Linked DNA regions of Arabidopsis thaliana. The protein of the gene in region 2 purifies or fractionates together with the protein of the main gene of each other region. This does not show direct contact. Each region holds a gene or a part of one and is shown on either strand. Other genes may lie near its edges. The genes, in order: TUB9 and CRK3.

Region 1 (4,826 bases), on a different chromosome or scaffold from region 2:
ATTGAAGCTATTAAATCCTTTCGGTATCTCTGTTCTTTCGAGTCTCAAGACTCGATTGATAACTTGCTACTCGAGCTCTACAAGGTAATGCAGCCTCCTTCTTTGTTAATGCAGCAAGTGTTATGGAGTTGTTATAACTTGGAAATGGGTTTTGGTGTTTTTGCAGAAGTCAGGGAGAATTGAAGAAGAAGCTGTTTTACTTGAGCACAAACTGCAAACACTCGAACAAGGAATGGGATTTGGTGGTAGAGTCAGTAGAGCAAAAAGGGTTCAAGGAAAACATGTTATTATGACTATCGAGCAAGAGAAAGCAAGGTGAGAAAGTTTCGGTGTATTCTCATGTTAGCTTGATGAGTGTTTTGTCTCTTGAATTGACGTTTCCATTGTTGTTTGAACATTTTAGGATACTAGGGAACTTGGGCTGGGTTCATTTACAGTTACATAACTATGGAATTGCAGAGCAGCATTACAGGTTTGGTTTTGTTACCAAAATCCCAAATATTGATTACTGTCTGGTCATGTGAGTTTTGCTTATATTCAACTGATTATGAACAGGAGAGCTTTGGGTTTGGAGCGAGACAAAAACAAACTCTGTAACCTTGCAATCTGCTTGATGCGTATGAGTCGAATTCCTGAAGCTAAATCTCTGCTTGATGATGTAAGAGATTCTCCTGCAGAGAGTGAATGCGGAGATGAACCATTCGCAAAGTCTTATGACCGAGCCGTCGAAATGTTAGCAGAAATAGAATCGAAAAAGCCAGAAGCTGATCTTTCGGAGAAGTTCTACGCGGGATGTTCATTTGTGAATAGGATGAAGGAAAATATAGCTCCTGGAACCGCAAACAAGAACTACTCAGATGTTTCTTCGTCTCCAGCATCTGTGAGACCGAACTCTGCAGGTCTATATACACAACCACGCAGATGCAGATTGTTTGAAGAAGAGACGAGAGGTGCTGCTCGAAAGCTACTATTTGGAAAACCACAACCTTTTGGCTCTGAACAGATGAAGATCTTAGAGAGAGGAGAAGAAGAACCCATGAAGCGAAAGAAACTGGACCAGAACATGATTCAATATCTCCATGAATTCGTCAAAGATACAGCAGATGGTCCGAAGAGTGAATCAAAGAAAAGCTGGGCAGATATCGCAGAAGAGGAAGAAGCAGAAGAAGAAGAAGAAGAAAGATTGCAGGGAGAGCTTAAAACCGCAGAGATGTAGGATCTATTTGTACCGGTTATCAAGTTTTTTGGATCATAGAAATTGTATAGGCTTTTGACATTGAAATATTTTCATAGACAAAACAAAGAAGCATAGGCAAATGTGATTACACTCTGGAACAAATCTTAGGTTTGGGAAAGAAATTCAATAACAAAACACACAAAGCACAAAAAGAGAGAATCCCAATTCAGAAAAAGAGGTAAAAGGAAATGAGTGCGACGAACTTACAGCCTTACAAAAGTAATAATCAATCATCTTTTCTTTAGGCTTCTTCTTCTTCTTCGTCCTCCTCGTACTCCTCTTCACCGACTGTAGCATCTTGATATTGCTGATACTCTGCAACAAGATCATTCATGTTACTCTCTGCTTCAGTGAACTCCATCTCGTCCATTCCTTCTCCTGTGTACCAATGAAGGAAAGCCTTTCTCCTGAACATGGCAGTGAACTGTTCACTCACACGCCTGAACATTTCCTGGATTGAAGTTGAGTTTCCAATGAAAGTTGATGCCATTTTCAAACCAGTGGGAGCTATATCGCAGACGCTTGATTTCACGTTATTTGGAATCCATTCAACAAAGTATGAGGAGTTTTTGTTCTGGACGTTCATCATCTGTTCATCAACCTCTTTGGTACTCATCTTTCCACGGAAGACAGCAGAAGCTGTCAAGTAACGACCATGACGAGGATCAGCTGCACACATCATGTTTTTGGCATCCCACATCTGTTGAGTTAGCTCAGGGACACTCAAGGCACTGTATTGTTGAGATCCTCTTGATGTCAAAGGTGCAAAACCAACCATGAAGAAGTGGAGTCGTGGGAAAGGAATAAGGTTCACAGCAAGTTTTCTAAGGTCAGAGTTTAGTTGACCAGGGAACCGAAGACAGCATGTAACACCACTCATTGTAGCTGAGATGAGATGGTTAAGGTCACCAACTAAGATACACCACCACATAAGAAAGAAGAACAATGTCAGGATTTTCAAAACTACAATCACATGAATATTAGAAAACAAGAGAATAAATGGTTTGTAAATCTCACATGTAGGATTAGCAAGCTTCAAGGTACGGAAACAGATATCGTAAAGAGCTTCGTTATCCAAAACCATACATTCATCAGCATTCTCAACGAGCTGGTGAACGGAAAGAGTAGCATTGTATGGCTCAACAACTGTATCAGAGACCTTAGGAGATGGGAAGACCGAAAAGGTCATCATCATACGATCTGGATATTCCTCTCTAATCTTAGAAATAAGAAGTGTTCCCATTCCAGAACCAGTTCCTCCTCCCAAAGAATGACAAACTTGAAAACCTGCTCCACAAATGAATCATCAATCAGAGAATGAAATCAAACGCTAAACAAAGCATCTATGAAGGAGTTTCTAATAGCAGATCTGAATTCGAATGCATACAGGAACAGGAAACGCTAACAAATCAAAACACAAACGAGATTCAGAAAACGAAAACCTAGAAAATGAAAGCGTATCTCTCTCACCTTGAAGACAATCACAGTTCTCAGCTTCCTTCCTCACAACATCAAGCACAGAATCAATCAACTCAGCTCCCTCCGTGTAATGACCTTTCGCCCAGTTATTCCCAGCACCAGACTGACCAAAAACGAAGTTATCAGGCCGGAAAATCTGACCAAACGGCCCAGATCTGAGAGAATCCATAGTTCCAGGCTCCAGATCCATAAGAACAGCACGAGGAACGTATTTGCCTCCGCTAGCTTCGTTAAAATAGACATTGATCCTTTCAAGCTGTAGATCTGTATCGCCACATGACTGACCGGTTTGATCAATACCGTGCTCGCCGCAAATAACTTCCCAGAACTTAGCTCCGATCTGGTTTCCGCACTGACCTCCTTGAATATGAAGAATTTCTCTCATTTTCACTCGGATGTTTTTTTTTTGTTCTTTCTTTCTCTCGGGAATCGCTTTTAGTCTATTTTCTCGAGAAAATGATGAGAAAATTTGGCGACTCCCTCTGTTTATTGTTTATGATTGAGGGGTATAAAAACAAATGAGAGTAGTAATCGGCTATATATAGTTTACCTCCTTTTTTCTCTAGTTTCTCAAATAATTTGCATTTTCGTCCTTAGACTTCTATTGGTTTTTGATATTACCCTGATAGTTTTTCGATTTGGTTTCCTTTATGTGCTGTTATACAGCGAATCAAAAACAAATATCTTTCCTTAGATATTTTTGTTAATTAATTATAAAATATTTACAAAATCACTCGTGAAAGTTATATAAAGGCAAATTGTTTTCTACGCTTTTTTATATTATTGATTAGATCCTTTTTTCTTCGGATATTGAAATTAAAGACCAAAAGATTCGAATTTGCGTCATTAGTGGATTTTCCTTTGTTGTTTTTCACACCAATAATAGGCAATTTTACTTATTTAGCAAATCACCAAATTAATTAGATAAGCTGACAATAGAAATTAGAAGTAAATGGCTTACAGGCAAATAACAACTCATAAATATGACGATTTTAGAATAGTTAATCTGTTGCATAAATATCAATTTTCAAGTGAAAAAATATTACTATATGTCTTGCTTCTAAGTTTATTATATGAATCAACGGTTCAAACAAAAAAAAATCTATCAGGAAGGTTTTTTAGCATCTAACTATAGACACAATTCGTTGATAGGTTTAACAATAGATGAAATTGTTCAAATTATCTTTAGACAAATTTTAAAAATGTAAGGATCTTAAAATAGCTATTACCGGTTTACCATGTTTAGTTCACAAATAATATGGATGCATATTTCGGTTGTTTAGTTTAGTTTAGTTCGATGTAATTTGTTTGCTTACAAAATATAATTGAACAAAAATCTTAAATCTGTTTCGGAATGGTTTGTTTTTTTCACCGGTTTACCAAATTCACTTTTGCTTCGGTATAAATGAATTAAGATTTTGAAGCTACTGTTATACCATACTTGTAGTCATTAATGTTTTTACATATTGGGGAAATTAAGCTGAATAAATTAGTTTTTGTAAAGTTTAAGTCTAAAATAAATAAATTGATCAGCTTTATTAGAATTTTTTTATTAGAATTAATTTAATAATTTCGGTCAGATGGACATAGGTAATATTTTGGTACAGCAGAAAGTGTAAAATCTTAAAAACTGCATAGTACAGTTGTACAAATTTAACAAAAATGGAAATAAATAACAAATTTTTTGTAACAAAAAAAAGGAAGTAAAATAATTGGTTAAGGCACGCGTCGTCCTGCAATGTCTTTTTAGCGGTTTCCTCATCATATCTCTCTCTCTCTCATTTCACTTTCTGCGCAAAGAGGGCAGGAAGAGGTTTCTTCTCCATTTATTGCATTTGTCTCTCCAAAATGTCTAATTAATGGTTTTGATCTTCCAACCAGATCTTCTTCTCTATCTCTTCGACAAACCCTTTTTTCTGGGTTCTTCGGAGAGGTGATTTATCACCAAAAAAAAGATTTTAAAAGTCTAAATCCTTTTTTCTTTCTTTCCTTCAACATGCCTTTACCTTGGAAGAAATCTAAATCTAGTCGGATCTCTAGATTCGTATCAGACTTTCAACAATCTCCTAAACATGGTGGATCTCTCGTTGTTGAAACTGGTTTCCCAACT
Region 2 (6,842 bases):
CACACAGTAAAAAGGATGAAACCAAGAAGATCCTATCTTCTTACTGATATCTTTGTAGTTTGTATACATTCTACAAAAAAATATGGGCAGTACTACAATCTAATCTCATTTATATTAAATATAACTATCTAAATTAAAACATATATACTTGTGAAACAATTAGTTTAAGAAAGCGAAAAGTATCATGATTTGGGCTGTATATATATACTATCACACCTGTAGAGTGCCTGTTTTCCGTAGACTAATGGGTACGATCGAACCCACTCATCTCACTATCATGATTTGTAATAAATGGTTATGATTCGATTGTCGGCACCATTTGAGAAAAGGAAAGGCTTAGCTTTTTTTTGGGTTATCACTAATTGTTGTTTTATCACTTTTCATTTCATTTTTTAATTTGTTGATTAGGACAGCGTTACTTTATTGTCTTTTGCTTTTAAGTTTTAACCCTTCATAATAGCCTTATGTAGAATTAGTAGTTGGCCTGAAAATCGTTTGATTAGATGCTAGACCTCTTTAATGGTATGAATGATATTCTTAAGGATTTGTTGTAATGGAGATGATGATGATGAAGTGATTTGCTTAGAGGAAACAATGTAAAAGTTAAAAGCAATTGACATACAATATGACTACTTGAACCATAGATGTTCATATATTATACTTGCAAAAAAATGACTGTAACCCATCTACCTTATGCACATGTTTATATCTTTTTTTCATTTTGGTCTTTTCTGTACCATAAAATTGAAACTCTATAATACGATAAAGAACAAAACAAACGGACGAAAATACCCCTCACCTCTCTCAGAAGTCTATTTGCTCTGTTCTGATGAAGAAAAAAAATATTAAGAAAAAGACCTAAAATTAGAGAAGGACTAGCGAGGTCTTGCGTGAGCAGCACGAAGAGTAACTCCGTGCAAGAACTTAGTGAACCCTAAGTAACTCAGCTTCCCGTCACTGCTTCTTACCCAATCTCTCAAGTGTCCATACGCAGACGCACCCACATTCAGTTCCTGTTCAATAACCAGAGTCAAATTCAGTTCCGAAGCCAAACACCGGTCCTATGAATCGAGAGGATTACATTTAACACCATACCCTTGCTAGTTCTTCGATTGTGATCACTCGGTTTCCCTCGGTTTCAAAATGCTGGAAACCTGCCGTTGCTATCTCTTCCCACGCGTCAACAGCTTCTAGTTGATGGATGCTAATTGCTGCTGCACAGAACTCTTCGAAATACATCTTCCTATACGCTAGAGATTCCATCTGCCAAAACAGATGATCATTAGAAACCAAAAGATTGATTCATTTTTCTCTCAAATTTGTTCTCAGGTTCTCACAGTGTGAAGTATTTCAGGAACTCTTGATTCTCTCATTGCGTCTGTTGCGTTTTGCATAAGCGCCTGCGAGGATGGAGCTTATTAAACCTTTTTAGTTTAAAAAAGCCGATGTGACTATTGACCAAAGGCCTTCCTTCAGATTAAGTAACTTACCGTCTTGAAGTTTTCGAGAGAGACGCTACCATCTTTGTTTGGTCCCAACAGCATGAACTGTGCTCTAAGATAGACTAGCTCGTTCTCGGTCAATGCTTTTGCTAGCGCCTAGATTCAATTATTAAACATATGCTTCAATCTTCTAAATCAACTCTTACCAACTTTGTGCCAAAAGAAGAAGAAGAAGAAAGTCATACCTTTAAAGCAGCTCGTCTAAGAGGTGTCGCGTGCAAGTAGGCTTTGACCAACTTATAGATCAAAATGTCTAAAGGAATCACACGACTATCATCCCGTAACCACGGATGAGCTGAAAATAAACATATCATTAGTTCTGTAATGTTCAAAATAATATAACTCAATGATGTGTCAAAAAAAGAAAAAAAAAACTCACTCAAAGCTTGAACTGCAGACATTCGCTTCCTATAGTCTTTGTTGAGAAGTCGTTTCACAAAATCTTTACCTTCTGATGAACAAGAAGGCCAAGGTACGTCATCATAGTTTGGTTCAGTTCTTAGTACAGTGCGAAAGATTCCAGATTCTGTCCGTGCCCAAAAAGGTCGGCTTCCACATAAGAGTATATATGTAATAACTCCAATACTCCATATATCAGCCTCAAGGCTATATGACCTGTGTAAAACTTCAGGCGCGACATAGTAGGCACTTCCAACTATATCATTCAGTCTTTCATCTGCATTGAGGAATTCAATCAAATTTCACTAGTAGGCAGCTATAAGGAAAGTATAGTGACAAGGCCTGAAAGAATGAAAAGTCTTACCAGGTCTAATAAAGTCTGAGAGACCAAAATCAATAAGTTTCAAGTCTGAGTCTTCGCGGCTTGATGTAAATAGAAAATTCTGTTGAACAAGGTAACAGGAGTGTTTAGTAATGATGTGTAATGCTACTGGAGGTAGAGATAGGGAAAGTTTTCTTTGTAAAAACAGACCTCTGGCTTTAAGTCACGGTGCACAACTCCTTGGAGATGACAAAATGAAACAACAGTTAGAATTTGTACGACAATCGCCTTTGCATCATCCTCCGGGTATTTACCACCCCTGAGACAAGAGAATGCAGTGTTTGAGCATAGATATGAATAAATTCTCAGCATTTAACTTGAGGCATATGCAGAGAAACACCTAAAAGAGTAATCAGACATACCTTGCTAAAATTCTGTCCAAAAGTTCTCCACCATCACACAACCTGGTCAAGCAGAACCAAACATCGATTTAAGTAACTGGTTTACAAGGTGTGTCTGATTACAGAGATATGTTCAAAGAAATGCAGTTCAGAAGTGATGTTCTGTGTTACAACATTTAAGTAACAGCCAAAATCCTGAGGAAGAGAGAACATCAAATATCTGATAAAAAAAAATGGAAACAAGACATACTCCATGACTATGTATACGTTATTGGCGTCCTCACATGCATCATAATATTTGATTAAATATTTGTGTCCAGATAATGATTTCAGTAACTTCACCTCCCTGCGAACATCTTCAATTGCAATTGCTGTTGTCATCTGCCAAGTACAGAAAGATAATTCAGTCAACAAATCCTTTTTGCTTGTTCTATTAGAGAGAAGGATAGCACAACTGTCACCAAAATGTGTCAGACCAGCTTCATTACAAAGATAAGCCAAAATCATGAGCTTTCAAAAGTGAAGCCCATACATAAAACATTGTGTCCTAATGCAGACAAAAGGAATGTCAGATTATGGTCTCCCCAGGACGCAGCCAGACAAAGACTTCTCTAGTTACGTTTTTCATGAATCATCTTTTCAAAAAAGGATGAAACAGACAACAAATATCACATGTAACACCATAACATTCTTACAAAATCAACAGCTAAGTAATCAAAACGTAACCTAACTGTGATTACAAGCTTCGAACAAACAAATGTTTGCAGAAGAAAAGCTCATAAACATTAGTACATGAAACTCATTCTTTGATGACTATCCTTGTCCTAATGCTGACAAATCAACAAAAAGTTCACATTTTTGTCTACTCAACTCACTGCCAAACAAAAAATTTACCTATCAAAAGAGACAACATTGTTTGTCTCAAGAGACTCAGCTGGAAGAAAAAGACAATTCACTGTCCCACAGCCATTATCCAAACCCAAGAATCTTACTTTCACTACCTCAACTACGAGAAAATGTAAGCATTACTCGTTCCACATTTCAAAACCCTCCACAGATTCTTGTAGCAGCATCAGCAACAAACAAATCACAATATAAGCTAAAATTCAACACCAATGCAAGCAATCCCAAAATCAAAAACTAGATGTTCAAAAGATTGAGAATTTAAAACCTTAGCCTTGGAGATGATCTTGACAGCAATAGGATGATCCTTAATATCTCCCTTCTTACCACGGCCAGAACAAGTATGACCAAAATGCCCTCGACCCACTTCTTTCCCCAATTCGTACTTAGCACCAAAATTCTTGCCATAACCAAAGCTCTTATCAAGCGACTGCTCCGGCTCAGTTCCTCTCTCCTCAGGGATCGGACCTTCCTTAGGCTTCACTCCAAGACGTTTGATCAAAGAAGCCTTAATGTGTTTGGCTGGAGAAGGCGGCGGGAAAGGCCGTCGGAAAAACCTCCTCGGAGTGGAAGTTCTGGCCGGAGAAGGAGAAACACCAGAAGGAAGAGGGCTCGCTGATCCGTGAGGGAAAGGACTAGGCCAAGGACTCGGATTCGATGACCTAGCTGGAGTGTTCTTAGCTCGACCGTAATTAACCGGAGTTAGAGGCTGAATCTGATTCCCGTCGCCGGAAACAACATAAGTAGTCGTGTTAGCTTCTTCTTCACCATTTTGCTTACTCTGATTAACCTTCCCGTAACATTGCCCCATCTCCCCCACACAATCAAAAATCAAAAGAATTCAAAATTGAAGCAACATAGAGCAAGTAACGAATCAGATCAAAAGGAAGAGAGATCCAAAATTGGAAGAAGAAAACGATAAACGAAAGGAATGAGAGAAGAAGAAGAACAGAGACGACAAGGTAAGTGTTAAAAACTTAGAAGAGACAAAAGTGACAGAGAGAACAGAACGGAACGGAACGGGGACGGTGGTGTTTTTACGTAGTAGAAGGATTGAGAACCGTTGGATTAAAATCTGAGATGTTGAAATGTAAACTTGGAGATCTCAAACCATTTAACTCGTTCTAGTCACTATTCAACAACAACTACCTTCCCCTAATCAGGCATTTTTAGTCTTATACTATTTGATTAACAATTTTGTTTTGTGTTTTGTGAATATGAATATATTTTATTTTGTCCTATGTCTTTTTCTTTTCTTATTATATGATAGTTCGAGTTCTTTTGACTCTTTCTTTTTTCCTTTAATTGTTTTGTCTTTTGTTACTTTTTGGGCTCTTTTGCCGTTTCCTTATATAAATTTGTAAGACATTTTAAACAAAATCAAAATTCCGAAAACGGAGTTTATAAAGAAGATTGGATTCATCAATTCCACGTGGCTTAATATTATTGGATCTAACTAAAACAGAGTTTCTTCCATAACGATTTTTTCACAACATATGATGCGACCTGGTCGGATGGTTCGGAAATGGAGAATATACGGAGTACGTTATCCTACGTGACAATATCTGGGCCGTTAAAAAAATCGCTTTTAAATGTGATTTATTGAGAATTAAACACAAGGGCGTGATTACAGCTTTTTCTCGAATTTGGAAACAATACTTTTCTTTTGTACTTCTAAACATTTTTTTTTTAATTAGTTATCACTCTTTTTCAGGAAAAGTATATATTTTCGACACAAAAGTTATATTATAAAAAAAGTTGAAATTTTTGTCCAAAAAAGAAAGAAAGAAGAAGTTGGAATTAATATGTTTTATCTGTTAATTAATTAAATAAATCCATGTGTAAAGCAATCACACGGAGATACAATATTACAAAGTTATTGTTTTTTTTCTTTGTGATTAAATTTTCTTTACGTTGAAATCAATATGTTTTATACTAGAATCTTGTTAAAAATTGTAATAATTTTCTGTGATTGTGTTTTCACTTTTTTCTTTAGAGATCTCTCGTACTAAAATTAGGGTGACACTAAATCCAATTATGAAATTAAATTATAGTGGTAATTAATAGGTAAAGCGACGTCTATGAGGAGATTTAACACAAACATTACTATCAACTTATCAAATAGGTAAGAAGCAGTTTTTCTTTAAATTTATTTTGAAAGATAAACCTTGATGTAATAAATTAAACAAATTGAAAGTTTAGAAGTTACCGTTTGTTTGTATCAGCAGACATTAGGAAATATATGGTCATTTACACCAATAATTGTCCATAAAGCCGAACAAATGGGTAATAATATAATTTTAAAGTATGTCGAAAATAGAAGGAAAATAAATAAATGTAAATGGGGAATAGAATCCACCTTCAATATTCTATGGTATTTTACAAAATATTGAACCGACTTAAAGTAAGTCCAACAACATGCATTTGTTTAGTTTAATTGGATTTATTATACACCAAAATTATTGTGATTGGAGTACATTTTTTATACAAATTACAAAACTCAAGGCTAACATCGATTACCTCAGAAGTCGACAAATATTTCGTTAAAAAATAGAGAAAGTGAAAAAATCTTGTATTTTCTGTAAATTTTAGCGTATGTATTAATTTGTTATTACCGTCATCTGATATCATAGCGTATGTTTTAAGAACTCTTCGTTTGGATTTATGTCCAATGGTCAATGCTCATTCATATTAATATATTTCTTGTCAGCAGTTTGATAATATAATAAACATGTGTCTAAAAATATTTATCAAATTCACCATTCAAAAATGAGTTATAACTTATACGACACAATATTTCCTTTCAAGTTTATTTTCACAACTACTTCGTAAATTAAACAAATGGTAAACCACGAAAAAAATGGTAGATTTGTTGTCATCCTAATTGTTAGAATTTGTTTTAAGTTATGTTGGTAAATATTTTGCAGAAATTGATTAAATAATAATAATATCCCCTTATGAGCCCGAAACAATCGAGCCCAGCTTGTCGTTCACAATGTAGATCTTATCCTTAATTTTCAAAGGAAAACAGTTCAGCCCAGTATAGGCCCAATATCAACCCGCTTCTAGGCCTAATCCTAAACATGAACCAACTTTGAGAAATATAACCTTTTTTTTGTCATTCAGCTGAATATTTACCATCTAAACTATTCAATCAAAGCATGATTGATAAATTAATAAATTATATACAATAAAATTTGAGACCACAATTTTTCACTAAGAACATTACGACAATGTTTATAGTTACCAAATTTTGGTTTTGTTTTAATTTCTTAAGTTAGTAATAAATACTGACAGCATGAGCAATATAACTGA

The links.
Region 1: the proteins of CRK3 (region 2) and TUB9 purify together in Arabidopsis thaliana (affinity purification with mass spectrometry, with the first as the bait; one study listed by BioGRID). This does not show direct contact.

What each region holds. Positions count from the first base shown.
Region 1 is NC_003075.7:11,180,493-11,185,318, reverse strand, and holds TUB9 (tubulin beta-9 chain), read right to left. Parts: upstream 3,228-4,826; 5' UTR 3,102-3,227; coding exon 2,708-3,101; intron 2,525-2,707; coding exon 2,255-2,524; intron 2,150-2,254; coding exon 1,479-2,149; 3' UTR 1,217-1,478; downstream 1-1,216. Other genes in the region: MS5 (Tetratricopeptide repeat (TPR)-like superfamily protein), read left to right, coding at 1-84, 167-315, 404-520, 556-1,216; AT4G20880 (ethylene-responsive nuclear protein / ethylene-regulated nuclear protein (ERT2)), read left to right, coding at 4,713-4,826. UniProt on the Arabidopsis thaliana protein: Tubulin is the major constituent of microtubules, a cylinder consisting of laterally associated linear protofilaments composed of alpha- and beta-tubulin heterodimers.
Region 2 is NC_003071.7:19,182,093-19,188,934, forward strand, and holds CRK3 (CDPK-related kinase 3), read right to left. Parts: upstream 4,721-6,842; 5' UTR 4,339-4,720; coding exon 3,796-4,338; exon of another isoform or gene 3,519-3,795; intron 3,006-3,518; coding exon 2,875-3,005; intron 2,688-2,874; coding exon 2,646-2,687; intron 2,543-2,645; coding exon 2,434-2,542; intron 2,345-2,433; coding exon 2,266-2,344; intron 2,179-2,265; coding exon 1,882-2,178; intron 1,798-1,881; coding exon 1,688-1,797; intron 1,599-1,687; coding exon 1,491-1,598; intron 1,401-1,490; coding exon 1,338-1,400; intron 1,264-1,337; coding exon 1,096-1,263; intron 1,014-1,095; coding exon 876-1,013; 3' UTR 561-875; downstream 1-560. UniProt on the Arabidopsis thaliana protein: May play a role in signal transduction pathways that involve calcium as a second messenger. Serine/threonine kinase that phosphorylates histone H3 an GLN1-1.